Astyanax mexicanus: one gene and its partners. The main gene of each other region encodes a partner of the protein of the gene in region 2 in a complex. Links are inferred from orthologs where the notes say so. Each region holds a gene or a part of one and is shown on either strand. Other genes may lie near its edges.

Evidence for each region.
Region 1: cep290 (region 2) and tmem17 share a complex: the UniProt entries of both Homo sapiens proteins name them as parts of the tectonic-like complex. The link is inferred for Astyanax mexicanus from reciprocal best matches to the Homo sapiens genes CEP290 and TMEM17.
Region 3: cep290 (region 2) and tctn1 share a complex: the UniProt entries of both Homo sapiens proteins name them as parts of the tectonic-like complex. The link is inferred for Astyanax mexicanus from reciprocal best matches to the Homo sapiens genes CEP290 and TCTN1.
Region 4: cep290 (region 2) and b9d1 share a complex: the UniProt entries of both Homo sapiens proteins name them as parts of the tectonic-like complex. The link is inferred for Astyanax mexicanus from reciprocal best matches to the Homo sapiens genes CEP290 and B9D1.

Annotation. Positions count from the first base shown.
Region 1 is NC_064409.1:54,423,336-54,430,775, forward strand, and holds tmem17 (transmembrane protein 17B), read right to left. Parts: upstream 2,665-7,440; 5' UTR 2,597-2,664; coding exon 2,482-2,596; intron 2,126-2,481; coding exon 2,022-2,125; intron 1,911-2,021; coding exon 1,797-1,910; intron 1,041-1,796; coding exon 897-1,040; intron 793-896; coding exon 694-792; 3' UTR 515-693; downstream 1-514. Other genes in the region: slc15a5 (solute carrier family 15 member 5), read right to left, coding at 3,491-3,635, 4,814-4,922, 5,031-5,162, 5,348-5,536, 5,619-5,805, 6,373-6,593, 7,145-7,314, 7,424-7,440. UniProt on the Homo sapiens protein: Transmembrane component of the tectonic-like complex, a complex localized at the transition zone of primary cilia and acting as a barrier that prevents diffusion of transmembrane proteins between the cilia and plasma membranes.
Region 2 is NC_064417.1:17,363,120-17,370,270, forward strand, and holds the start of cep290 (centrosomal protein of 290 kDa), read right to left. Parts: upstream 3,004-7,151; 5' UTR 2,966-3,003; coding exon 2,870-2,965; intron 1-2,869. Other genes in the region: protein O-mannosyl-transferase TMTC3, read left to right, coding at 4,955-5,143, 6,352-6,570. UniProt on the Homo sapiens protein: Involved in early and late steps in cilia formation. Its association with CCP110 is required for inhibition of primary cilia formation by CCP110.
Region 3 is NC_064427.1:20,757,935-20,764,970, reverse strand, and holds the start of tctn1 (tectonic-1), read right to left. Parts: upstream 3,022-7,036; 5' UTR 2,976-3,021; coding exon 2,651-2,975; intron 1,719-2,650; coding exon 1,601-1,718; intron 782-1,600; coding exon 648-781; intron 1-647. Other genes in the region: pptc7b (protein phosphatase PTC7 homolog), read left to right, coding at 4,361-4,562. UniProt on the Homo sapiens protein: Component of the tectonic-like complex, a complex localized at the transition zone of primary cilia and acting as a barrier that prevents diffusion of transmembrane proteins between the cilia and plasma membranes.
Region 4 is NC_064410.1:53,741,983-53,748,962, forward strand, and holds the start of b9d1 (B9 domain-containing protein 1), read right to left. Parts: upstream 3,019-6,980; 5' UTR 2,867-3,018; coding exon 2,804-2,866; intron 2,676-2,803; coding exon 2,607-2,675; intron 2,060-2,606; coding exon 1,948-2,059; intron 828-1,947; coding exon 731-827; intron 624-730; coding exon 561-623; intron 1-560. UniProt on the Homo sapiens protein: Component of the tectonic-like complex, a complex localized at the transition zone of primary cilia and acting as a barrier that prevents diffusion of transmembrane proteins between the cilia and plasma membranes.

The DNA of each region.
Region 1 (7,440 bases), on a different chromosome or scaffold from region 2:
GTAATCACTTTCACTGCTTACATAATTTCTGATAACACAAAGATATCATATATTGGCAAATATAACTAGTTGTTACTAGTTAAACACAACCGATTTGATATTTGTCGAATTTGCTCAGTGTTTACTATTGACTAAGTAGAGTCTTAAAATTATCTAAACAAACTTAACCTAAAAAAGGAACATACACAAAAATGATGCAGGCCAGGTTATGAATGTAGGCCATGAAGTACAGAAACATCTATTGTGTCTTTGTTCAGCTGTAGACAGGTTTCATATTTTACCATCTTTTTGAGACAATTATGTATTTTTCAGCTATTTTAATAAAAAACACTGATGTGACGTGACTGCTGTGTTTTCTCATAATGGACAGAACATATTGTGAAGAAATGTATTTATGCTTAATATACTTAAAACATTAGATGCAACCTTTCCATCTTCCATTATTTGTATATCCTTTCTGAATCTAGGCATCTATTTTTATTTTCATATTATATGAAGTAAGACAGACAATGTGTACTTTTTAATATATTTTTAAATAAAAAAATATATACAAATAATTACAAAAAAATACTATGACAAAAATAATTGGTAAAAAAATTGTTAGAGAATGATCCGAAATATTTCCCACCAATGCTATTTATGGTCACTTTGGTTCTTTAAACGTGTGCAGATCTTCAGATTTAGAAGCATTCGTTATGCTCTAAGTTCTTGAATTCCATTAAACTGCCGAAGATGGAAGCGGCTTTCGGTGTTCCTGACCATTGCACGAAGGGCAACAAAACCAGAGAGAGCCTGTGAATGATATTTGGGGTAAAACATCAAACACAAATGAGTAAAAATTAATTAAAAAAAGGATGAATTGAATTAAAGGATGCCCATGAGAGTGCTGCCCATACCTCTGCTAAAATAAATAGAGCGAGAATGATATGCACTCCTCTTTCCAAAGGTTGAATGAGTATAGCTTCATTAAAAAGCAGGAAGAGAGTCAATGGAAACTGAAGAAGGAGACTTAGAAGCCAAAATCCAGCCAGTTCGGGAACCTGCAAAGAGAAACAATGTTTGATTATTACCTGCCAAACAAAAAGCTCCTGCATTTTATTTACTCTCTCCACTAATGCTGTTACATACATTTAGATTTCACATTTTATTTATTGTCTATATGTGAAGAGTAATGTTACACATGTATATAGTTTATATTCAGTACCAGTCAGGAAGTTTGGACACACATCTTATTCAATGTGTTAACTTTCTTTTTATGTTTTTTTTACATTGTAAATTTAACATTGAAGACATTAAAGCTATACAGGAAGATGTGGAGTTATTTTGCAAACAAAAAATGTGAAACAAACCAGAATATATTTTAGGCTACTTTAGTAGTCACAATTATTATTTAGCTTTGAGGATATATTTGGACACTCTTGGTATATTCTCCGTGGCTTCATTAGGTAGTATTACCTGGAATCGTTTTCTCCAGCTCATCCCAAATCACCCATCTCAGTTGGGTTTAGGATAGGGGATTGTGGAGGCCAAACCCCTTTTTTCCACTACATAATTCATTGTGTGTCCCTAAATGCCTTCAACATTAATTTACAATGTATAAAATAAATTTAATAATTCATAAAAAAAATTATGTTCAATGTATGTTGCGTGTATATATATATTTTTTGTATATAGCTATTGTGGTCTTAAGTTTTTTTTAACTTACCTGCACACCTAATGTGATCTGACAATAAACCAGATTTGACATTGATTCTCAATAAAGATGCGTATGGATATTACATTAGAGAAGTCTTTACCTTTTCTTGCAGGTTCCCAGCGTAACCCAGGTAGAGTCTGATACCCTCGATGAGGGTCATTAAAATCAGGACGGTAATTAAGATGAACTTGTAGTAGTCTGGAAGGGCTGGGTACTAAAACAGAATACAAGGTAAGCTACCTTCACTAACTTAGGTTAGTTACTACATACATCCAGGTCAGACAGTTACCAAACTAGCGTTAGTTAACCTAGCTAGATTACTTACTTTGAGTTGCAGCATCACCACTTCACTGATCCACCACAGAGGAAAGAACCATAGGTTGAAGAAAAGGGACATCTGAAGCGGCAAACTGGACACGACTTCTCTGTCTGTATAGTGAATACATGATAAGAGTGGGGAGAACTGAGTGTCTAGTCTACCACATTTAACAGCTAACGTTAGGTTACTACACTGAACTGTAAGCTAGTTAATTAATTAGATAACGCTAGCTAAGCTGGTTTAGCCAATTAAAACACGACAATAAATACACAGTAGCTCATGTGCGTTCAGCTTTGCACGCCAGATAACGTTAGTGAGGTTCATTTTCCTTTTTAGAAGTTTAGTTGCAGCTTCTTTGCCAAAGCTAACGCTAACCTAGCTGATGTTATTGTTTTAGCGGTTAGCTAGTTAGCACGCATGAGATGTAACCCAGCTAGCTCACAGTTGGATATCAGGACAGACTCACTCTGATTCAGGAATTTGACATGATCCTCAGGGGTAAGTTTAGAAAATGTCTGATCCACGAAAACAGTTCTGGAAAAATCCCCCAAACGTCTTCTTATGGGCTCCGGTAGATCCATGATGGAGCACACATCTCAGCCTGACGCTAACGCTAACTGCTGAACATCATCTCCTAGCAACAGCTGTGGGCGTGTTCAGCAGGGAACCGCTGTACTTGCTGTAGCTCTGCAATCAGGGTTGCCAGGTCCGACAAACATATCCAGACAAAAGTCAGTCTAAAACCAATTTACAAATGTTGAGTTTTTTTTACTTTACCAAATTGTAAAGCTCTGGAATATAATCCAATTACTTGTAATCATGTTTCACTACACTCCAAGTCTATTTCACACCAAATGTCTCCTTTAAGGTAGAGATAAAGGTAAAAAAAAACATAAAACAGATTTAAACAATTCCTTTAAAACTCAAGTTCACAGATGAGTTTTCCTTTACTATATTTACTAATATTTAATATATTACATCAATATATTCCATATATTCCATCATTCATGTAGGCAGAGACACTCCCAAAATTTCACACCACTGCATTGACTTTAAGCTGGCACTAAGTAGCCATGGCCAACAGGTCAAAACATAATAAAGTGCATGCTCTACCCTGATTGGTGAGTTTGCTTTGCACATATAAACCAAAGGTAACCAAAGGAAATAGTACAGTGACAAAATACACAGGCTACTTCTCTATTGTCCACCACTGTTCATGAACCTAGTTAGCTTACATACGATGGCTTTTAAAAACCTAAATAAATAAGAACAATAAGATAGAAGAATCTCCTCATAAAAGTCATATTACAAAATAACTTTATTGTAGATTTAAAATGGCTCAGTTACATTAACCAATTCACTAGCACAGTTTTGAGGAAAAAGGAAGCAAAATCCTAAATTATGTATGCCAGTATTAAGTCTTTCATGTTTGTGTGACGCCAGCATCTTGGGGCTTGACCATCATCATGCAGGAGTCAGAGGATCATTTCCAAGGATGCTGATGTTCCAGTGTAATCCACAGTGTCGTAGAATCGGAGACAAGATTTATGCTGCAGGAGCTTCTCAGCCAGGTGACTCTGTCTTACTTCTTTACACAGTTCAGCACTCAGGTCTGTGTACCTGTACAACACAACAAAAAAACAATGTGCAGTATCAACACAATACTGTCAGAATTAGTTGCACAACCATGCTTCTGTGTATCAACCTACAAGTCTACATTTTCTGTCTTAAAACTTGACATACCTTACATACATTTTTATGTTCATGTTTTAGGTAGATCAGATGTGTTAAGGACCCATTTCCCCATTTCATTCACTCGTCATGGTGAGGGCGGAATTTTTGAGTGCAAGGCAGGAATACTTACTAGAGAAGTTGCCAGTGTAACTCAGGGTACTACACACACTCCATTTACTCATATCTAGCTGTAATTTAGAATAGCCTACCCACCTACTGGTATGTTTTTGGGAGATAGGAAAAAACACAGGAGGGTTCATATGGAAAACACAGAGAGACTGGAGCAAGGATTTAACTCCCACAGCCAAACCACTAAAGCTGTATAGCTCATACAGTACCACACTTTTTCAATCCTGCTTAAAAAGATTGCAAAACATACTTTTTGCTTATTTGTCCATGTATGCCAGGTCTACTAAGCTGCATTAATTCTGCTCTAAATTAATTGTTGTTGTGATAATTAGGGCTGTAAAGAACATGCAGAGACCATACGTATCACGATACAGGGGTTACAATTCAGTACATAGATGTATTGTTATACTGTATGCAAGGGGATATATTTGAATTGTTTAAATTAAATAATTTACAATAAATAACATCTGTCATAGATAAAACACTATTATATGTATTAAATCTGAATAAAACAATAAAACAAAACTTTACTTTTTATGCAGTGAGAACAGTGGGATTTAACAACAGAGTACAACACTGCTATCTTTTTGAGACTTTTGTTCATATTTTTGCTAATCCAGGCTCAGCAAATGGTATCACTATGTATCTTTGGTGAAGGGAGCAGGACACATATTTGTGTAAAATCCTGTAATAGTACTACTCAGTTCACATGCTACTACAACTTTAAGTGATGGTTCAGTATCTCATAATGGATTATTCACCTTTAGGTTAAGCCAATGACTAAAAATACTATGTTACTAATGCTGCTTTAAGTAGACCTCCTGATGCATTTCATACCTTATAGGTCAGAATGAACAAACTCTGGTATTGATAATGTGTTTCCAGTGTACACTAAGGGCTCCTATGATACAACAAAATATGAATTTGTAGCCTACCTGCAAGATAATCTCCAAAACAGCAGGGTATTTATGGTCATCAGAATTGCCAAAGTGAAGAAAAATCTCTCCAGATTGCCGTCGCTGAGTGTATTTGGATAGAAGTTCCCTAAAGGCAGAAATGATCAAATGAAAATGATTCTTTATTAGCAGTGGCTGATGAACCATTGCCCCCGAGTTTTTGCTTTGTGTTAACAAAATGCTGAGAAAGCCTTACCCCCAGAAACAAGATAAAAGAACTGAGTCAGAACAGCACCCAGAAAGCATCCTCCTCCATAGAAGAGAGTGAGGAAGTGTAGGGAGATGCCTCTGAGGTTACTAGGAGTCATACAGAAAGAGATGAGGGAGCCTAAAAGTAAAAGGATTAGAAAAAAAGCATGAATTACATGAATCAAGGATATCAGTGACATAGTAGAGATGAGCTGCTTTCAGCTAGACAGTTTGGGTCTATTTATAATAATCTGTGAATCTTTTGGAAATCAGTAATAGGACCTAGTGTTTAATGTTTTGCACATTATTAAAATGCATACTTACATGCTGGTGTGACAAATGCTTCTGCTATACCCAGTAAGACATACTGAGGTGCAAGTTGAAAACAGGCCATTGAGGACACCTGTAGTACTGTTCCTGACAGTGTCTGCTCCACCTGAGAGAAGTCTTTCCTGTGGATCTCAGTAATCCCTGCAGCTAGTGCAGACAGAGCTGCACAGGCATGTCCCGCTGCTGCAAGAAAAGATGTCACAAAGTAGAGCTTACTACACTCCATACCTGTCACACTTACTTATAATTCATTGGACATGCATACTTATGAATTTGGCTGGAGAAGGAGGTGTTTTCTTCAAAGACTGATAACAGGTGCCAAAAAATTCCAGTAGTGGTGCTAAAATTAGCAATGGCAGGATACTGATCACATTCATAGCTGCTATAGGAAGGAGGAAACCATTGAAGTTCAGATTTGAATGCATGGTCTGGAGGTAGTATCCTGATGGAATCTGTGAAGATGCAAATTATGTTATTGGTTATACAACTGTGGAATGGACATCTGCGCTCAGAGATAATACCTAAACAGAGATAATATGAATTATAATAATAATAATAATAATAATAATAATAATTGAAGATTAAATGTTCATCATTACATTATGTATAAGATCAGTTTATGTACAAGTGGTGGAAACGATATGTCTGAATGTTTGTGGACACCCCTTCTGCAGCTATTGCTGACACAAATGTACAAATGGACATATATAAACTGCTTGTCTAGTCCCTGAGTGCTACCAATAGTATAGGAATTTTTCCAAAGCAGCTAAATGTGAATCTATTGGCACTATGCCTAATGCCAGTAGTGGACTGGAGGGGTATAAGTGCAATCAAATCCTCACAGCAATGCTCCAAAATCTAATAGATTTCCCTGGACAGGAGCAGGGGTTTTAGTACTTTTGTCCACTTATTTTGTATTTTATAGGTGCAATTATAGGAAGTTTAGGTCAAATCGTACAAACACCTTTTTATTGTGTAACAAACATTAACAGAAAATTTTGTTTCGCATATATACTTACTTGGGTTATACAAGCCCGGTAGAGCAGCTGCAGTCCAAAAAGAGGAAAAAGCTTAACCAGGATCTTAACATTTTCAACACTGGTCTCACTGTAGCGTCCTCCATTGTTCTCCTTGGCACGGTCCAGCCAATTATTCACGTCTCCACTCAAATGACGATAATGGAGGCAGGACATTTTTAAGGAGTTTAGGAACACACCCAGTGTGGTCAGCAACAAACTGGCTGTGTGTTTTCCCACACATGAAAGGTCAATGGAATGAAGGAAGAGAAGAAGACACAATGATCAAATACTGTTATGTGAAATTCAGTGTCATCTATATATAGAGGGTACACATATGATATCACAGTTGGGGAGAGTCTGTGTGATTATGCCCAGTGGCAGTATACTGAGTGGCAGCATTAGCGTTCATTGTAAATGCTGTGAAGACACAAAATGGGAAAGAGCCCTTGTGTGATTAAATATAAAAACTTGTTGAAATCAATGTACATAACAATGTAAGGAAACCTAATTTCTAGTTTCTAATTGGTCTGTTGCTCTAGAGCCCAACGGCCTTCAATTTAAACACATGACCACTTGTTTCATAGCTGGTTTGGCTGTTTCAGTCTGACCAAACGACATGTTCTGGCAGAAACAGGACTCCAATGAATACCATCTATTGCATATAATTTATTGCAGAAGTTTTGATCTATGCAGAATTATATAAACAGCACATTTATTTTATTTGTGTATATTTGTATATCTGTTTATCTGTATGTGTTTGTTAGTCCATTACCTTTCTTTGGATGAAAGATGAGATTGTTGCGTGCCATGTGTATCGCAACAAGAGCCAATAGAACAGAGGTGAAGGGAATGAGAAAGCCCAGGTTTTTACCCACAGACTGCTGAATATAGGAGATCCCCAGGAACACAACTGTAGAATTGAGATTCACAAGCCAGTAGAGCCTGTGGTTATAAATACCATCAGTTTTACATCAATAGCATAACCTTCCAGAGATGTACAAGCATTTTGATTTGCTCTTAATTATCTATAGTTAATGATTTAATGTCTTACCAATTAAAAAAGGACAG
Region 2 (7,151 bases):
GTTTATAGTTCATAAACTGTGAACTGCATTCATATTCTTAACATGTTTAATGCTACTAAAATGATGCAACTAAATCAGCTTCCTACAGTTGTAAGTTATCTTAATGTTCCCAAATCTTACTTGATGTGAATAAATATCTGTGTTTAACAAAAAAATATATATTCCTGTTGCAGGATGATGATGATGAAACAATCTCTGCTATATCATTTGATTAAACATGGTAATGTGTGTGACTGTCCGATAACAGAATGTGACTGGTGATCAGGAATCTGATGAGGAACCATCCATCTCCAAAGCTCAGCTTGGAACAGTGAGAATGCTTATGTCTCAACAAATATCAAAACCATTCTGGACACAAAGCTATTTATTTGAGCATAACATGGTATTTTCGTCTCTTTCTTTCAAGATGGCTGTTAAAGATTTATACTAGGTTCACCTAAAACAAAACAGACAAGACTGGAAATTGAGTTGCTAGAATATACATTAAAGGTGGGAGTAGTTGCTGTGATTGTATATTTGTTTTTATCAAGAATAAGGACAAAATCAGAAAATAAATAAATCGAAAACATAGGCAAACCCTGATGAAATGTACTGTATAGTGCAGACTCTCGAAATATCCTTGCATCATGTACAGAGCCTGGCCATTTGGCTTCAAAATTAGTAATAATGTTGGTAGCATCACATACACAGGAAATTTGGCAGTGTTAAATCAACACTGTTAGTGTTAAATCCACACTAAGAAGTGTTGATTTAACACTAATAAGTGTTTATTTAACACTAACAGTGTTGATTTAACACTAACAGTGTTGATTTAACACTAACAGTGTTGATTTAACACTGCCAAATTTCCTGTGTATGGTCTTAATGGAGGAGAAAATAAGTTTTTATAATGTATTAAATATAAGTCCTTTTTGTTTTTTAAAAAGTAGTAAATTTATGATCAGTACTTGTATATTAATGCTGTGGAAGGATTTTCTGTTTACATAATCTCCTTCATTTTCGGCAGGGGCTTTAATTTGAATGTGGGTTCCATCCATGCATCCAATGACTCCTAAATTACAAAATTTAAATATATAATAAATATAAATATAAAATTTTGCAGAGCTATTTATCTTTCACTTCCGATTTGTTTGATAATTTTGTAATCTTTGTTATAAAGACAAACCTGCAATTCTGTGGAATTCCTCTTTAATGTTCATTAAAGGCTTATGCCCAGGGAACACCACAAAACTGGACAACAACTGTTTTAAAGCTAGGCATACTTTGCTGCACTGCAGGCTGCACTTTGCTGCCTGCACTGTACAAAAAAAGCCCATTGGCAAAGAAACTGAGAGCACTGCATAAAGTCTGCAAAGATGTGAGGGCTGATCCACGATGCGTGATATTTTAAATGTGAGGCTTTAAAATATTGTTTAGGTATGAAATTGACTGCGAGGAAAAACGGTAACGTTTGAGGAGAAACTGAAAACACGTCTAATCTGGGTGAAATTACTCGTTCACAACAGAGAGCTCTGTGAATAATTTGCGCTTCAATATCAACTGGATCCGTTTGTATAAGAAAAGTGGGCGTAACCCTGCGTTCGGAGTAAGTTAACCTGCCAGCGAGCAGGTTAGCTTCAGAACGCAAGTTGCTACAGTAACTGACTCAGGTTCTCTCTTAGCTCTCTTTCTGGAACAGAAAACCCTGAGTTTCCGTGAACTCTAAGTTTACTAACTTATCCGGTTTTGTCACTTAACCCCCTTTCTGGAATACCCCTCTGGTTCCATCTTTTACAGCATGTTTTTTTCAGACCCAGAAGGAGCAAAGCAGCCCAAGATCATCCCACTACCACCACCATGTTTTACATATAACGTTAGTATGATTTTTCTGTATGGTCTTGTTCTGCAATTATGCGTTAGTTTTATGCCAGATGTAATGGGACAAACACTCACAATTTCCACTTTTGTCACATCATTTCGAAATAATATTTACCCAAAGTCCTAGGGATCATCAAGATGTTTTTGACAAATGTGAGACAGGCCACATTGTTTTTTTTTTTATGCCCATAGACTGTGTCTAGCTGGACAGAGCATCTTCTCTTAAAAGTGACCACAGGTCAGGCGCCCCCTGCTGTTCGGTTGCAGAAAGCTGTGTTTGTGTGGCAAACAGACAACTTTCAATCACATTTTTTAATATACTGTAATTCTACCTCATTTATTTAAATGCAGCAGCTAGTGTAACCTCTGCTTATATTCTATTTTTTATATCCCCACAGAATTCGTTTTAAAAAACGTTATTCAGCTCTATTCAAAAAGGTGTGGTTATTGTAAAGGGGCTGGGTTACACCTAGCCGGGGTGGAACCAATGACTGTATGCATGGAACCAGCCTGTGACCTACTGTGTATAGCTAGGTAGGTTGGTCACTCCTGGGAAGGTTCACCAGTGTTCCATGTTTTCTTCATTAGTAAATAATAGCTCTCACTGTGGTTCACTGGAGTCCCAAATCCTTAGAAATGACTTTATAACCTTTTCTTAAATGATAGATGTCAATGACTCTTGATATATTTTTTTCCAGATCTGAGCATAATGTGCGTTTTTTTAAGATATTTGGGTGGGGGCAAACAGCTAGATTGGTTTTGAAATCATAATTTAAAATATGTTTTTTATATTTACTCAGATTATCTTTGTATGATGTTAATGTTTGTTCAATAATCTTAAAAAAATAAAGTATGATAGAAATGCAAAAACAAAAAAAAAATCTGTAAAGAAAGCAAATACTTTTCATGCCACTGTATATCTAAACAAAATTTTAACATTGAGGATAGATGACATACCGTCTACAATCACTGAAACTTTACTGTTTACGGTATGCTAAGAGTTTAACGTTACCTGCAGAATAATATCACAGATGGTTTCCTCCTCTTCGCTTCCCAGAAGATCAGGATCAACAGTCATCACTGTTTTCCAGTCTGTAGTTGGAGGCATCTTGCGGTTTGTTTGGTGTCCAAAATCTGTCCACAGCCTCCAAACAGCCTTTATACTACAACACCAGTCACTTTAAACATGTAAAACTGGGGCTACTGTGGAGGATCCGGAAACAGTGTTAAATACTACCTGCTGAACCGTTGCCTGCAGGTAAACTGGTTTAATTTACGGTACTTTAGCTGGCATTTCAGTTAATGAAACGGCTGGCTATCTGGACAACAATGCGCCCGAGAAGAGAGTTTAAAGAAGATCAACGACAAAAAAACAAAAACAAAAAAAAAAAACAAGCTGACTTTTAGTAGCTTATCTCGGTTTTAGCTTTCTATTTAACTTGCTAACCAGGCTAATGTAACCTAACCTAACGTTACTGGATGAGAAAACAGAGTTGAATATATAACTTAGTTATAACTTAGATAAGTTATCAGTTAAGTTTACCATCTAAGACAGTCCAATAATATGGCCAGCTGTAGCCTCTGACGTCTGAAATTCTCCAAAAAGCTAAATATTTTACCCATTTTAGCCTTGCATTTTATGGCTGTACTAGCTAGTTAGTTGGCGTTAGCACTGTTAGCATTAGCAGGCTGGCTAGTCCCGTTTTCTGTGCTGTTGCTAGGCTACCGCTCAGTGGCGCTCCGCGGGCGGGTCGGGGACTACTAATCTACAGATCACGCGGATCGGTGGATGGCGCTGCTGTTCTTCAACTGCAGAAGACAATGATTTAAGATCAGCAAACGTTCTGGAGTGTAAAGGTTTTCATAATAAAAGTCCTCTAAATATTATTAATTAAAATAACAATTCATTCTATAAAAAAACGTCATGATATTTGAAATTACGGGCACGTGTTTTTAAATAATATATTCTTTGTAAATAAATAAAGAAATAAGGTCAGAATATGAATTCATGTTCCTCATCTGAACTCTTAAGCATTGCGACCCGGAACTTGTAAAAAGCCCATTAGCATTAAAAAAAATCTCGACTGCTGTTCCCGAATAAAGGCTGCTCTTGGCTTAAAACGCAAAAACACACAAACACACACGCTCTGTTTACGGTTTATCTCATCAAAGCCATGACAAGGTGGGTCTGTAACTTGTATAATGTGTTTTATAGATCTCATATGCTGCTGTTAGGAGCAAGGATTAGCTAGCTTCCTTTTTCAGCACCGTTAGCAGCAGTAGCTGTATCGTAGCTAATACAGTAACAGAAGATAATACAGTAACAGAAGCTGATTCAGTAACAGAGGCTACAGTAAGCTTTGCTGCACAGCTTTTCTACAGAAGGGTTGAGTTGTAGAGGTGGGTAACCCAGGTCCAGAAAGTAAAAATACAACCCAGGGTTTGCCCTGGGCGGCTCTGCTACAAAACTCTGGGTTGGATTTTACTTTCTGGACCTGGGTTACCCACCTCTAGTGAGTTGTGATCTGGAGCTGTTTTGATTAAGCAGGTGGTGCGTTAGTGGGTAATGTAGTTAAGGTAGATAGCTGCTAAAAAGAATGGCAGCATTAGGGAAGCTATTAGTGCAGCGACCAGCTGTGCCCTTATTGATACAAGGTATCCAAGACCCAAGGCAGCAAAGCAGCCCCAAGCCTTGATCCTCCCTTCACCATTATTGAAATGAGTTTTAGGTGTTGGAGCTAAACCATTTCAGTTTTTCTTAACATCTTTTCCCAGCCTCTATGTGGATCCATGTCTTTAACATTGCCTTTGAATTTTTATTTGTAACATGTATTTTGAGATATTCTGGAAGTTGTCTGTGTCGATAAATAGTTCACAATAAGAACTCTTTAAAAAGAACATGCTTTGTGTGCCTTTAGTCATGGGAATAAGCATTAGCAAACATTTTTTGATGTTATATTTGAAAATGAGATTTTTTTTGTGAACCATAGCTTTAATGGCATGACTGATATTAACAGTAATCTGAATCTGAACATTAATCTCTGATGTGGAATTGGATTTTTTTTTTTACAGTGCTCAATGAGGACTCACGTTAGTGATGGCTGTTGTGTTGTGGAAGGAGGCTTTCCTGTTGACTGGACTGGTGTTGGGGTGCTTCTGGAACAGTCTGCTTTGTGGTTTTGTGTTTGATGATGTTTCTGCTATTTTGGATAACAAGGACCTTCGTCCCTCGACGCCTATTCAGAACCTCTTCCTCAATGATTTTTGGGGGACGCCCATGTCAGAGGTAGGGTCCTACAGTGCACTGTGACACTGAGTTACATGATGCAGTTCAGCCATGCTGTTCAGGAATTTATTTAAAGGTCTCATTCTATTGTTTTTTTTCATTACTTTTAAATTGTCTAGTCTCTAGTATGAATAACAGCACTACAGCAGAGAATGATACCTGGCTTTGCCCCACAGTCAATTTTACAGCTTTAAAACTCAAAGAATAATTTTTTTTCAGAGATACAGCCTTAGTTGTAAAGATACAGCACTGAGTGCTGTATAAAGTTAACCCTTAAACTTTACTTAACGTCAGACAAGCGGCCCCGCAGCTCAAAGAAATGTCATCAATGCCAATTCTGAACATTATTTTTTTACTAGCTACTGCAGACAATGGAGGTTGAAGAATTGTTTCATATGCAGCATTCATATACAACTCAGAGAGACTTATAGTATTTTACGAAGAACAAGAAAAAGTGGATTTTAGCGGAAGGCGACTTTTAGTAATGACAAAAAAAATTAACAAATGGTACTGGACAGTACTGATCACATTTCACATCTGAATATTTTGCAGATAACAGTGTGACTGTGTCGGGTGTAAGCAGTATTGCAATAATTTACACACTAAATAACTATATTGGAATGGATGTTACAGTTGGGATTACTTGGATTTCTGCATAAATGGGTCATTAAATGTGTTTTAATCCTTATGTTAGTCACAACAATATAAAAACACAGTCTGCTTAAACTAATATCACAAAAATATATATATGGTTGCATGGTTTTATTGAACACAACAAGTATGTGAATTTTTGGATTTAATAACTGGTTGACCCGCCTTTGGCAGCAGAAACCTCAACCAAACGTTTCCTGTAGTTGCAGATTAGACCTGCTCAATGGTCAGCAGGAATTTTGGATCATTCCTCTTCACAAAACTGTTTCAGTTCAGCAATATTCTTGGGATATCTGCTGTGAAAAACGTTAGCATGTGCCAGAGATTTCTGTAAGTCTTCAGCTAAAACTCTAGGATTCTTTTTCACCTCATTGATCTTTCTGCGTGTACATTTACTTGCTGGCTGTACCTGTAGTCAAGGCACATTGCTATTGCGACCAGTCTTCCTCTGGAGCAAATCTGACAATGGCGCTAGTTAATATAGATGATTTATAGGAGCAGGGTTTTTCAATTCTTATGAGGATGGATGAATATGACTTTGCCGTCTTTCTGTGCAGGAGAGGAGCCATAAATCTTACAGACCACTCACTGTCCTCACTTTCCGCCTCAACTACCTGCTAAGTCAACTGACTCCTCTGTCCTACCACTTGCTCAATGTGCTTCTCCATGCGGCTGTGTGTGTGCTCTTCCTTCGCTTCTGCCGACTGCTGCTGGACCGCAAGACCAGCCTGGTGGCCGCACTCTTGTTTGCCGTCCACCCTGTCCACACAGAGGCTGTAAGTAAACAAAATAATATATGTGTGTACAGTATGTACAAAATCAAGCATCTTTATAAACATTTTTGAAGAGCTCTTAGATATTCCACGGTCGACTGAGTGGTATTATTAAGAAGTGAATGTATTTGAGATGTTATAAAGAGATGTTATGAAAGCACTAATAAAAGTAGTTTGTAGGTGCCCCAAGTGTTTTATACATATAGTTTTTAGTTCTTAAGGTAGGTAGGTGGATGGATGGATGGATGGATGGATGGTCCTGAAGCCCTGCTTGTTTATGATGTTCTCAGCTCACCCACGTTGAATGTTAATCTACATGGATTTCTCTTTTAAAAAAAATGTATGGGTGAACGAAGCGCTTCCATTGATTAACAGTAAGCTTAGAGATCTGGTATTTTGTCCAAAGTTGAGTGCCAGCCCCAGTTAGGAGCATAGCCAGCCCCAGTTAGGAGCATAGCCAGCCAGGGTTAGCAGTTTAATCAGCCCCGGTTAGCAGTGTAAGCCAGCTCTGGTTAGCAGCATAGCCAGCCCCTGTTAGCACTGTTAGCCAGCCACGTTTAGCAGTGTTAACCTCCCCGGTTAGC
Region 3 (7,036 bases), on a different chromosome or scaffold from region 2:
GTGAATAGCTCTATTTGCCATATTATGGCAAGAACTTCTTAACTAAGTAAAGAAAAATAAATAAATAAATAAATAATGAACGTCAGCCAATCCAAAACATTTCAGTTCGAACATTGAATAATCCTCAAGTGCAGTCACCCAAAGACCATCAAAAACGTTATAATGGTGAAACTGGCACTCATCAGGACCTCTGTTGTACAGGAAAAGTTAATCAGAGTTACCAGCTCTTTTTTTTTTTATCAGTTGCAAAATAACTTATAAAATTATTAAATTATTAATCATAATTAAAATTAATTGGCATTGTTATATTTTGTTGCTACAAGAATTAATCAAAAGCCGCTAAAGTTTTTTTTTTTTTTTGCCTTGGACTTCTATGTCTTCTACTGCTAAATGTACATCATTATTTGTAAGTCATTTCGGATGAAAGCATCCACTAAATGCAATGTAATGTAACATATTGTATAATATAGAATCATTTTTAATACGGATCTTGAATTCATATGACTTATTAGCAAATCAATCAAATAAAGATATATTTAAAACTATTAAACCAAGCAATAACTGACATGTTTTGTATATAGTACAACTATCTATTCTGTAACTGGTTATCCATACACCGTGTCTCTGGTTGGTTGAGATGTACTTACAGTTAGCGGTCTGTATACAGAAAACATCAGGGTTGATCTGGCGCTGGACGGACGTCTGCACTGCTGAAAACCCCTCTGCTGTGGTGCGGAGGGAGTACAGAGCTGCATCCTGAGTGCACAGTCTGGGGTCTCCACTGACCAAACACACATCAAAGTTCATATAAATATAATCAGTTATTCAGTACCAGTCAAAAGTGTGGACACATCTTCTCATTCTATGTTTTTATTTATATATTTATTTTTTCAAGTGATCCAGACTATGAAGGAACACATAAGGAATCATGTAGTAACTTAAAAGTGTTAAACAAACCAAAATACTCTGTGAAGAAGCATTTAGATTCTCTTATCTGGGGAGCTGTTTGTTAACTTGTGGTTTCTGAGGCTGGTAACTCTGATGAACTTATCCTGTACAACAGAGGAAACTCTTACTCTTCCTTTTCTGGGGCGGCCCTGATGAAAGTCAATTTAATCATCATAACACTTGACTGTCTTTGCAGTAACTGCCCTTGGAATACTTTTTTTCCTTAAGATCAGTTGAATGACCTTTTTCATTGGTTTCTTTACTTAGTTTAGTTCTTGCTTCTCATAGTAGGGATTAGAACATTACTCACTGTATACCTGTAACTCTACCTCTTCACAACTTTACATCTGATGCTCTCAAACACATTAAGAGGCAAGGAATTCAAGTAATTAACTCTTGACTCTTAACTCAGCACAGCTGTTAACTGAAAGCCTGAATTCTAGGTGACTCTACCTCATAAAGCTGACTGAGAAAATCCAGCAGAGATGTGCAAAATTGCCATCTAAGCAAGAGGTGCTACTTTGAAGAATGTAAAATATAAAACATATTCTGGATTGTTTAACACTTTTTGGGTTACTAAATAATTCCATTAAGTTTTACTCATAGTTTGGACAACTTAAGTATTAATCTACAAAGCAGAAAATTAACGTACGTGACTTTCTGGACGGAGCAGCGGGTGAACAGGGGCCGTTCCTGAGAGCAGTCCGGGTCACAGCAGCAGTTCACCTCACACTGATCACTCTGAACATCACACGGGCACAGATCTGATACTGCACCAAACCAACAACAGCAGATTAAGATTAAAAAGAAAAGCTTCATTGTTAAATAAACCTAAATTATATATTATACATTTCTTTCAAATCCAATTCAAGATGGGCTATTCTTCTACAACTATTTATGTACTTATCTTAAACACTGAATTGTGCGAAGAAGAAGGAAAACTGGTGGATTTTCCCTTTAAGACAGATTCTGTTTAAGTCATTATGTAGTACCCTGATTTACACCTGTTACTGTTCTTCAGTACTGTTCACCAGTTCACACATTTAGGTGATTTACAGCTCTGACACCCTCACTTTAACACTTTATCAGACCAGTTCCTTTAATGTCTGAGGTTTTCCTGCTCGAACAGGTGCTAACTGTTGTTAACACCCCAGCTCTAAACTCTTTTACACTCTTTGGGAAACACACACACGTTTGGGGATGGAGTTGTAGATCAGGGACTGAAACTTGAACAATGTCTTGATTACGGATTTGGATCCGTAAATTAGCTGCTATAATCACTTTGTTTAAAAAGAAGTCGGCTTATGTTTACAACATTAACGTTGTTTAGACGTTAGAACGGAGTTGGCTACGGCTGCGTATGTAGATCTCAAGGTTTAATACAGTTAGTTAGCTAGATAAACCAGCTGAAAATGCTGGTTAATATAACGTTTTTTGAACGTTACAGTCATATTTTAGGAATGCTATTTTTCAACGTTTCAACATTTATAAACGTTGCTAAATGTTCTAACACGTTGTGGTGCAAACCATTTACTTATTATGTTACACGTTATTAGAACGTTCCTGGAATATTACATCTGAAACGTTACAGGCTAACTTAACTTTCCTGAAACCTTTTCAAAACGTTGCTAAACTTTCTCATAACGTTCTCTGTTAGCTAAAAAGCTAGTTTTCTTCTATTTATTCCCCCATACGTGTGTACCTCGGGTAACGGGTGCGGGTAGGGATCCAGACAGCGGTAAGGGCAGGGCTGCGGTGCCGGCCCGGGCTAGGTCCGGCTCGGCTGTGGGTTCTGGAATCTCCGTTTCGGGAAAGGCGGTGCTGGGCTCGACTGGAGACGCTGCGGGCATCGATACCGGAGCTAAAGTGTAGTTTTCTTCCCCGGTCTCCTCCGTTACATTATCAGACTCATCCCAGCCGAACCTGGTCCGGTTCTGGTCTAAAACTGAGCTGTTAAATCCGCCAGATTTCGCCCAGAACCCGCAAAACAAACCGGCCAAAATTAATACCCGGAGCAGCGCAGCCATGCTTAACAACCGACACAGCGCAGCCCGTCTCCAGGAAGCTGAAATAAATGAATAATAGGACTTTTATTTTGTAATAAAGCCAATTTTTATGTTTTATTCCATATAATGGACAAAAATGAAAAACTATTTTCATTTGGCTAAATGCTACACATATTATTATTACAAAAAAATCAAACCTTAAAACCCAGGAAAAAAGGAGATCTATTACAGAAAAACGTATACATATACACTTACCTATACGTTACCTATGCGTTAACATGTAAAATCTTATTTATATATTATTAAATATAGAGTTACAATAAGAGACTTTTGTTTTGTATAAAAGTACCCCATCCCCTTTCTCAATACTCCTAAACCTGGACACAAATAATGGTTATAATTAAATAATAATTAATTTTAAAGTAATTGTAAAAGAGCACTAGATATTCACAATTTTAACATTCTGTGTATTTGCTTTTTATCAGCAAATAAAAAATCTAATAATTAATAGTAAACATCAAACATTTTTGATGGCTTACAGTTAACAGCTGTGCCTTGTAAATGTTAATTACTTGAACTTCTTGCTCTCTTAATGTGTTTAAGAGCATCAGTTGTAAAGAGGTAGAGTTGGTACACAGTGAATAGCCCTTTTTGACTATTTCTTTGCATAATATGGAGTTCGGTCAATCCGAAAAATTTCGAGAAATTCTGAAAAAGTTTTATCCTCCAGTGCAGTCGAAAATCGACCATCAAAAACGTTAGAAGGATGAAACTGGCTCTCATCAGGACGGCCCTAGGAAACAAAGAGCAAGACTCTAATACATCTGTATGACCAGTATTCATTTATAAATTAAAGTAATAAAGTAATATATTACAAACTTCAAAGAAAAATTATTTAAAATAATATTACTATTGTTTTATTGTTTCTTTGTTTTTGTTTTTTTTTATTGACACGCCCCCAAACGCTCTGATGGCCTGGAGCCACGTGACGCGAGTACCCGTATGTCCCGTGTACTTTTGCTCCTGAACGCGGCGGTGTTTTGTTTGCGCGAGAGTGCGGCGCGTGAAGATGTCGGTTGTGGGGGAGCACCGCGAGACCGGCTAGTGTTTAAAACCCAACGGAGAACCGGACAGAACCAGTACAGAAGCGGGACAGCACCGTAGAGGACGGGCGCGGGTGGACTCCACTTCTCTGAGCCGGAGTCGGTGTAACACGATACGGGGACAGACCTCCAGGCTCCCAGGCGGCTGCTGTGAGTCTCTCAGCCGGGCTGAGTGAGGGTCAGCCAGGCAGCAGACTCCTCCACAGACTGCCTCTCCACCTTGTGCTCCGGAGCTCTATGCCGGCGGCTGGCTGCCGGTGGACGCGGGCTCTCGGTTAGCGGCGCGTCGCGGAGACAGCGGGGATGTTGTCCGTGCTTTCCTACGGGAGGATCGTGGCCAGGGCCGTGCTGGGTGGACTGTCTCAGACCGACGGCCGCGACTATAGCCTGATCACGGCCAGTTGCGGCTTCGGCAAGGACTTTAGGAAGGGCATCCTGAAGAAAGGGATGTGCTACGGGGACGACGCGTGCTTCATCGCCCGCCACCGGTCCGCGGACGTGCTGGGTGGGTGGACTGCGTTCATTGCTTACTTAACTACTTAACTTGCCAGAGGTTCCTATACACCTACAGCTTTTATTAGTTTGTTACCTGTCAATCAATTAACTCACCTGTGAGCCTAATTCATTAATTAACTCAAATGTCAATCAATTAGCTACGCTGTTTATTGGCAGGTTCAGCAGTAGCTTTGTCAGGTAGTTCTCTCATCGTCTGCTGATTAGAACCATATATGTAGTCTAGCTACCTTAATTTCTTCTACTGTGTGTTAATTAGACGAGCTTAAATAAAATAAAATAAAAAATTTAATCATATTAACTAGCTTAATTGTCACGTGACATCAACAATACCCAACAATAGTATAGTATAGATGAGTGGAAACAAACCAAACAAACAAAAAATTGGGTGCGTAGTACTAGCACATATATATAAATATATATACACACAACACAAAAACATAATGAGTAAATGCACACACTGTATGTTAGAGCTTTCTAAGAGAATGTTGTTGGTTAACAGCTACACATAGTTTGTTCTGTCTAAAAACAACAGTAACTGTTTGAAGTAGGTTAGCTAACTCTGGCCTTACTTCTCTCTCATTTACTGATTAAAATGAGTCATATTTAGTTGTAAACAGCTGGTATTTAAGCTACATTAAGCATATTTGCATAGTATTATAGTGCATTCAGATACAGCCATTATAGCTAAGGTCATTCACAGAATGATGATTGACCTTCAGGGTTAAAGTGCCACCAGCATTGCATTGCACCACAAACAGACACACACACTCTAGCACACACACATACACACACAGTGTGTTTTCAGTGTGTTTGTGTATGTGCAGGAATCACCCTCACCTGAAATAACCTTACTTTTTTTTTGTTTTAACCATTTAATACACCTTTTAAGTTTATTCACAAAAGATGTAGCCAGATAACTAGGTTTCTAGTGATCTTGGTAAAACTATCCCCAAGCAGATGGCTGAGGGTGCAGGGTGCAGTGTATAGGGTGTAGTGAGCAGCCTGTGTAGGAGGTGACCTTTCACCTAGATACCTAGAGATCCAGCACGAGCCCCTGCGGCCACAATAACGTGAACACGCTTGATAATTTTAAGATTTAGGTAGTTTAATAAAGTGAAACACTCAGCTAAACAGCGTATTTATTAGTTTTAATGATCTAAGCTGCTATACCAGCATCATATCTACTCACTTCATTTGTAAACACAGCTAATAACCCGGATTGCACAGGAGTATCCACTATTAAAACCGGATTAAAAACTAAATGCATGCTCAGATATCGTTATCAATCTTCGAGTCGAACTTTGTAGAAGCGCGTGGTTGCTTTTTATCAAGAGCTTTGCAGTGTTTTGTATCGTAAAGGTCAGAATGGTTGAGCATGGAGGCAGCCATATTACAGCTCAACCACGTTGCAGGCTCGCACATGCGCACATCCACCAGCTGCTGCTCGTGAATTAAGAAATGAGCCTTTAAAAGAGCTTATTTCCATGTTCAGACCTTTTTATAAAGATTATAGACACCTTTTATCTTATTCAGACCCATCATATCCCACTTATATAGTTTAAAATTATGTATTATGGTGAATTAATACAAAACAAGGGAAAGCATAAACCATCTTTAAACATAATTATATGTACAGACGTTTTATTAAGATTGTAGACGCATTATCCATTATACAGCCATATCCTGTCCAAACTTAGATTGTTTAAAGGGATGTTTTAATGTGAATTAGTACAAAACAAAGATCAAAATTAAGCATAAATAACCCCCCTTTATTATATTAATAAACAACCACATGTTTATTAAACCAAGCACATATGCATGCATACAATTAGTGAAATAAAGGGTCGCTCAATACATTCTTTTATCGTATCAACAATATGTTTATCGAGTCATCACTGATTAAAGAGCACTGATTGTACTGTACATTTTATAAGAAAGAATGTAAAAATCTGTTTAATTGAACAAAGTGCAGCAATTGTTTTAACATAAATCATTGGATTATGCATGACAAAGTATCTGAATAGGAGTTATTCTGCCACTTCTGGTAAAAATAATGTGTATTATAGTATTATCTTTAATGTGCAAATATTTTCCATATACGTATTATTATTTTACAAGCACATATGTACAAATACTTAGCAGAATAAGAACTAAAATGGTGACTTTTATCTTGGCGCTTCTTTAAATGCAGTCAGGAACAAAAGGGGCTTTTGTGTAGCTTCCGGCTCAAGTTTCCTTTGTTATGGAGCCATGTGGGGGAACGAAAAAGCCGGCTGTTTAAGGCCCCCCACCCCCCAGTTCAGCTTCCCCAGTCTATTTTGTCTGTCTGTCTGATTATCTGATTATTAAGATACAGGTTTTGTATCAAACACATTGTACCATGACTTAAAGTAATTAAATATAATTTATTTAATTTGCCTTATGTTACAATGCTGGGGTAACAGTGAACACACTTTTTTTTAG
Region 4 (6,980 bases), on a different chromosome or scaffold from region 2:
ATTTAGGTAGGTAAAGCGCTTCCATTTATTTACTGTAAGCTTACATTTCCAATATTTTCAACAGCGCAGTCAGAAGCAGAGCTAGCCATGGTTAGCAGCTGTGCTAGCAACAGTTAGCAGCGTTAAGCGCTAATAAATGCCACCCAATAGCACTACACTGAGAAACCCTGAGTGATCCAGTAAGCCAGGGTGCTATTAGCTAACAGTTTGTCCCACGTAGCTTGTTTTAACACGGTAAACATTCTCATATACACACTTTTGAACGGCAAAAGGGCTAGTGCTGCAGTTAGCTGCTAATGCTAATACTGCTTCAGACTCTGTGCTGAAGAAACTTCACTGAAAATCTGTTAAAACGCTGCACTTCAGTGGAGTGGCTTTACTGTTCCTTACAAACTGAATTTATACATAAGATGCACCGAATTTTGGGGAAAATTAAAGAATTTAAAGTGCACCTTGTATTGCAAAAAACATGATAGTTTAATTCATGGTAGTTTAGATGGTGTTTAATTTATGTCTAGAGTTCATGTAAATCGTAATCAGACTGTTGGTTGCTTTACTACCTTGTGAATTTCTGCAGTCTAGACGTGGATTCAGGAACAAACATTGGAATGGTCCGTGTGTGTCTGCAGGAAGAGTTTATTAATATGTGAATTAAACAGAACAGACATAAAGCAAACAGATGAAACTCCTCTATTCATGCATTACGTTCCAATATGAACATCCCACTTACTTTCCTGGGGTAAAGGGAATGTGTACTGCTCCATAACCTCTGACAACATCATTGCCAAACGTGTCCGGTCCATAGACACTAACCACAATCTGAGGCCCTATAAAATCAACACAGTTACAATGGAGCTCAGTCGCATGTATTACAAGAGCATGCAAGAGACATTGTGCAACTAAAATAACAAAAATTCTTGTTTTTCAATATACAGAATAAATGGAAATTGAAAATTTGTCAAAACGGAAGGTCACCATAGGACCACCACAGAGCAGGTATCATTTGGGTGGTGGGTCATGGTGGTGGTGTATGAGGTTGTTGTATGTTGTGCTGGTATGGGTGAATCAGATACAGCAGTGCTGCTGGAGTTTTTAAACACTGTGTTCACTCACTGTCCTTCTATTCAGTAATAAAACTCTTGCGCCAGGACTGCAATTGAAAAAACAGGAGGACGATTGGGTTTTTAGGCCTTCTCGGTCACGTGATATCACGTTCAGTAGCTCCTCCATTTCCACTCGCTGCTGTCCTTATGGGGATCTTCATTTTCTCCTTTTTGGGGGTCCTCTGTGATTTTATTCCCGACTGGAACGACCATGTGTTTTTCTCAGACGTCCTCTGAGAAAATTACAGGCTGAATTACCTGCTGTTTTTCACTAATTTTAGTTCCATTTGGACGCACATCTCCGAGTTTCGTCTCCTCGCGTTTAATAAAATAGCTATTTGTCCACTGCCAAGCACCCATGATTACACTTTGGCCACGTGTTTCCATGGAGAACCAAGTAAACACCACAGCAAGTGGACATGGAGGAGCTACTGAACGCAATATCATGTGACCTAGAAAGCCAAAAACTCACTGGTCTTCCTTTTTTCAATTGCAGCCCAGATGCAAGACCTCTGTGGTGGTCCTGTGGAAGGAATACAGTAATTGTATAACTATAAGGTGCTCTATATGATCAGTGGAGCTGATAAATATATATAAACATATACGTGGGTCCAATTACATAATGAGACGAACTGGGAAATGGAAGAACTATGTAAAAAATTATCCAAGTGGATCTACACTTCAATAACATCTTGACTGCTTTATTTCAAATCCAGGTTGTGCACAGAAGCAAAGGTATATTCCAACTATACTTGGAAACCTTTTTCATTTCTAAAGTTCAACATATAACAAATAAACACTTCAAATTGTATCCTTATATTTAGTAACACATAGAAATACATACATCCAAACGGGTTGGTGCTTTTGAAAGTGATGTCGAGAGGAAAGTTCCACACCAGACTCTGAGTGGAACCTCTGCCCTTCGATGTTATCTGAGATATTCCCTCCTCTAAGCCCTGCAATAAGGTAAAGGTATTTAATTATTTCATCAATAAATAAATTAATATAAAGACAAGCATATAGAAACAAAGATTCCAGCTCAAGACCAGCTTTTGCTGGTAGCTGATTTGGCATAGTCTGAGCTGGCCTTTGATGCTCAAACAGCTCTTGACCTGCACAGTGTATGCTGCATTGGTAGTGTACATTAACATTAGCTAAATATTCAACATGAATATAGCTAACATTCTGGATTTAAGAAAGGAGAGGGGAAATAATAAAACGGAGCCCTTGGTGACATCATGTAAAAAAGACGTGGCCACAACTTATTAAGGCGTGGGAATGAGATCCTAATCCGTGGCTACGAAGCTAAAATGTGGTACGTGTTAATTAAATAGCCACAACTTAAATTAACTTAATTATCTTACTCCCACGCAGTTGTGGCCAATCATTAGGATCTCATTCCCACGCCTTAACAAGTCGTTCATTTGTTTTCAACATGATGTCACCTTAGGGGCTGCGTGATAAAAAGAAAAGCACAGAGTGATAAATCTGGATTTTACTTACTGAAGTTGGAGCCCAGTCGTGTCCGTAAACAAAACAGTATTTACAGTATAAATCATCGTATTCTGGAAACTAGAAATAAATGAAGAGATTAAAACATAAACAGCAGCAGCTTTAGTTACTTTATTACCTTTATTTAACTGAGTTTAATCACTAGATAATCACTATTTATAGATCCGTTATTTTCAGTTCAGATTTACCTGCGCGCCCTCGATCTGCCCGCTGATCATCAGCAGGAACACGGAGGGGTTTGGGGAGGTCATGTTCAGATCATTAATAAAACAGTAAATATTAATATATCCCTAGTTTCATTAAATTAACTGATCCTCTCTCCTCCGCTGTTTACATAACTACAGAAATGGCTGCTGGTTGCTAACGCCGCTCCAGCCGCTAAGTAGCGACGGCTTTACTACTGGGGCCTGTGAGGTCCAATCTAGATGAAACGCGATTTGATTTATGCATCTGTCCTGCCACTAGATGGAGATATTTGACAACAAAATTACAGTAACATAATTTATGCTGATCCTATTTTAACCCTTTGATGCGCAACATGTATTAATATATAGTAAAATATAATATAATAATATTATATAATAATATTACACTATATAATATAATAATTTTCTATATTTTAACAATAAATTAGTTTAGTAATTCAGTGTTGAATGTATTTCTCAATTAACTTGTTTTTGATCTTCATACATCCTTGTTTTATTTTTACCTTTCTTATTTAAAAAAAAAACCTCACTTGGAGATGCTCAAAAAGACACTTGGAGATGCCCAAAACAACATTTAGAGATGCCCAAAAAGACACTTGGAGATGCCCAAAGTGACATTTAGAGATGCCCAAAGAGACACTTGGAGATCCCCAAAGAGACACTTGGATATGCCCAAAAAGACACTTGGAGATGCCCAAAGGGACACTTGGAGATGCCCAAAAGAAAACTTGGAGATGCCCAAAAGGACACTTGGAGATGCTCAAATGGACACTTGGAGATGCCCAAAGGGACACTTGGAGATGCCCAAAGGAAACTTGGAGATGCCCAAAGGGACACTTGGAGATGCCCAAAAAGACGCTTGGAGATGCCCAAAAAGACACTTGGAGATGCCCAAAAAGACACTTGGAGATGCCCAAAGGGACACTTGGAGATGCCCAAAAAGACGCTTGGAGATGCCCAAAAGACACTTGGAGATGCCCAAAAAGACACTTGGAGATGCCCAAAAAGACACTTGGAGATGCCCAAAGGGACACTTGGAGATGCCCAAAAAGACGCTTGGAGATGCCCAAAAGACACTTGGAGATGCCCAAAGGGACACTTGGAGATGCCCAAAAGAAAACTTGGAGATGCCCAAAAGGACACTTGGAGATGCCCAAAGGGACACTTGGAGATGCCCAAAAGAAAACTTGGAGATGCCCAAAGGAAACTTGGAGATGCCCAAAGGGACACTTGGAGATGCCCAAAAAGACGCTTGGAGATGCCCAAAAGACACTTGGAGATGCCCAAAAAGACGCTTGGAGATGCCCAAAAGACACTTGGAGATGCCCAAAGGGACACTTGGAGATGCCCAAAAGAAAACTTGGAGATGCCCAAAAGGACACTTGGAGATGCTCAAATGGACACTTGGAGATGCCCAAAGGGACACTTGGAGATGCCCAAAGGAAACTTGGAGATGCCCAAAGGGACACTTGGAGATGCCCAAAAAGACGCTTGGAGATGCCCAAAAGACACTTGGAGATGCCCAAAAGACGCTTGGAGATGCCCAAAAGACACTTGGAGATGCCCAAAGGGACACTTGGAGATGCCCAAAAAGACGCTTGGAGATGCCCAAAAGACGCTTGGAGATGCCCAAAAGACACTTGGAGATGCCCAAAGGGACACTTGGAGATGCCCAAAACAACACTTGGATATGCACAAAGGAAACTTGGAAATGGCCAAAAGGACAGATGCGTAAAAAGACACTCGGACACTTGGAGATGCCAAAATGTCTGTTGGAGATACTCAAAAAGACATTCAGAGATGCCAAAAGGACACTTGGAGATGCCCAAAAAGACACTTGGAGATGCCCAAAAAAACACTTGGAGATGCCCAAAAAAAACACTTGGAGATCCCCAAACAGACACTTGGAGATGCCCAAAGGGACACTTGGAGATGTCCAAAAGGACATTTGTAGATATCTAAAAAGACTTTTGGAAATGCCCAAATTACTCTTGGAGATGCCCAAAGGGACACTTGGAGATGCCCAAAGGGACACTTGGAGATGCCCAAAAGGACACTTGGAGATGCCCAAAAGTACATTTGGAGATGCCCAAAAAGACACTGAGAGATGTCCAACATGACACTTGGAAATGTCCAAAGGGACACATGGAGACGCCCAAAGGGACACTCGAAGATGCCCAAAGGGACACTTGGAGATCCCCAAAAGGACACTTGGAAATGCCCAAAACAACACTTGGAGATGCCAAAAGTGACACTTGGAGCTGTTCAACACTTGAAGGAAAGAAGGAGGAAGATGGGGAGGAGTTGAGTGTGAAGTTGTTCGACATCCAGGTAGAGAGGAAGTGAGGGTTTATAGAGGGTGGAGAGTGGGAGGAGTAAGGGTGTGGGTCAATCTCCTAAAATTAATTTATATTCATAACTCCACTTATGAAATCTTACAACAATTTGAATGCCTTGTTGTTGGTGATCTGGCAAAAAGAAGATATGAGGATGTCAATAAGCTCGGTGATTCCACAATAATAGTGGAGAGTGGCTTATCTCATACCTAGAGATAAACAACATCAAAAACATATTTCTTTGCCTGTTCACTCTCTGTATCGATCACCCACTGCACAGGCTTCTTTAAAAGCTGCTTTTCTCTGTCTGCCAGACAAACAGAGCATGTGCTGCTTCAAAACCTGAGTAAAAGAGAAACAGAGACAGAGGCAGGTTCAGAGAGACAGTGTTTATGTTACCGTGCTGCAAAAATCAATAATTTTTGAGTCTTGGGTTTATGTGTTACCTAAACACTGTACCAGCACCCAACTACAGTCTATACTCTTATTTGGGTGGAATATTTGGGAGGAAACCCTTAAGGTAATTTAAGCCTTTTAGAAAGGCTTTCTCTAAAAACCTTTTCTTGAAGGTTCCTCAAAGCACCTTAAGGGGGTTCCTCCACACTTCCAAATGGAAGAACCCCAAAAAGTATCTCAAAGATCTTATAATTTTAACAGTGTACAGTAAGCGAACCAGGCTTGATCGTCACTGTGTGGCTCAAGCGCGTCCCAGTTTGAGCTCTCCTCGTCTTTCGCCAACCGTCCCTCTCTGGGACCAGCTTCTTTGACTCTCAGCCACTATTTATAGCAACAGACTTGTCTGCACTACTTAAAAGTCCTCTGCGGAACCTCCATCTACCTTTTTTTAGATACAGGATAAAGGCAGCGAGAGTCATTTCTGTGGGGTGGGATTTTTTTCTCACCTCTTTCCTCATCAGAGTGGCTTTGAAGTGCAGTTCATTACTCCTTCCCCCTCCTCTCAAACCTGTGGGGGAGATTCATGTAAGACGTGGTCAGAAGTTGTAGAGTGCCCAGAAATGACCTGATGATAATGGGGTCTGCAGACCTACTTCCATACCCCAAATCTCAACACCATTAGAGAGCCAGATCCATTTAATTTGACATTTCTAACCAGCTGACATTTTCCAGTGTCACCAAAACATCCACCAACTGTCCACACACTGCATCAAATGTCAAGGAAATGCCATGTGCCCAGAGGCTGTTTTGAGGAGGGTATGGCTGGGACGTCCTATGTTTCACCAGATCCCCAGCTCTGTTACACCAGACCACAGACGCCTGTACTAATTAGCATTAATGTGGAAATGATGAGGGCATTTCTAAGAGAGAAACATCTATTCACCCATAGATATACTCCCTTACTCATCCCAAAAGTATTGAATGGAGCACCATCATTCCACAGAACAAATACCTATACCTGTCATTAGGCACAATGCCTATAGTAGGTGTATATTTATCTGCACCAGAGCTCAGCTGAATGCATTGATTAAAAGGGTGGTGTCAGCAAATAAAAGTGTCGATTGGTCGATATTCTTTAACTGATGCATTCTAGCTGAGTACTAAGACTTTCCCTGGTGATTTGTTCTGTATCGCTGTCCTGCTGAGTTGCTCTGTTTATTTACATCTTAGAGTAAGTGCAGACAGAAATGATCCTGATGATGATCTTTAAGGATATAGATGAAAGCATTAGTCATGTGTTTGTTTTTCTGATGTTTATGGACAAATCAGTTTCCATACTCTGTATGAAGTGGCTGTAGACTGGCTAACGTCCTGAAGACTCAATTCACAACCCTGAAGCGCTCTAAGTAGCTGTTTGACCTTCAGAT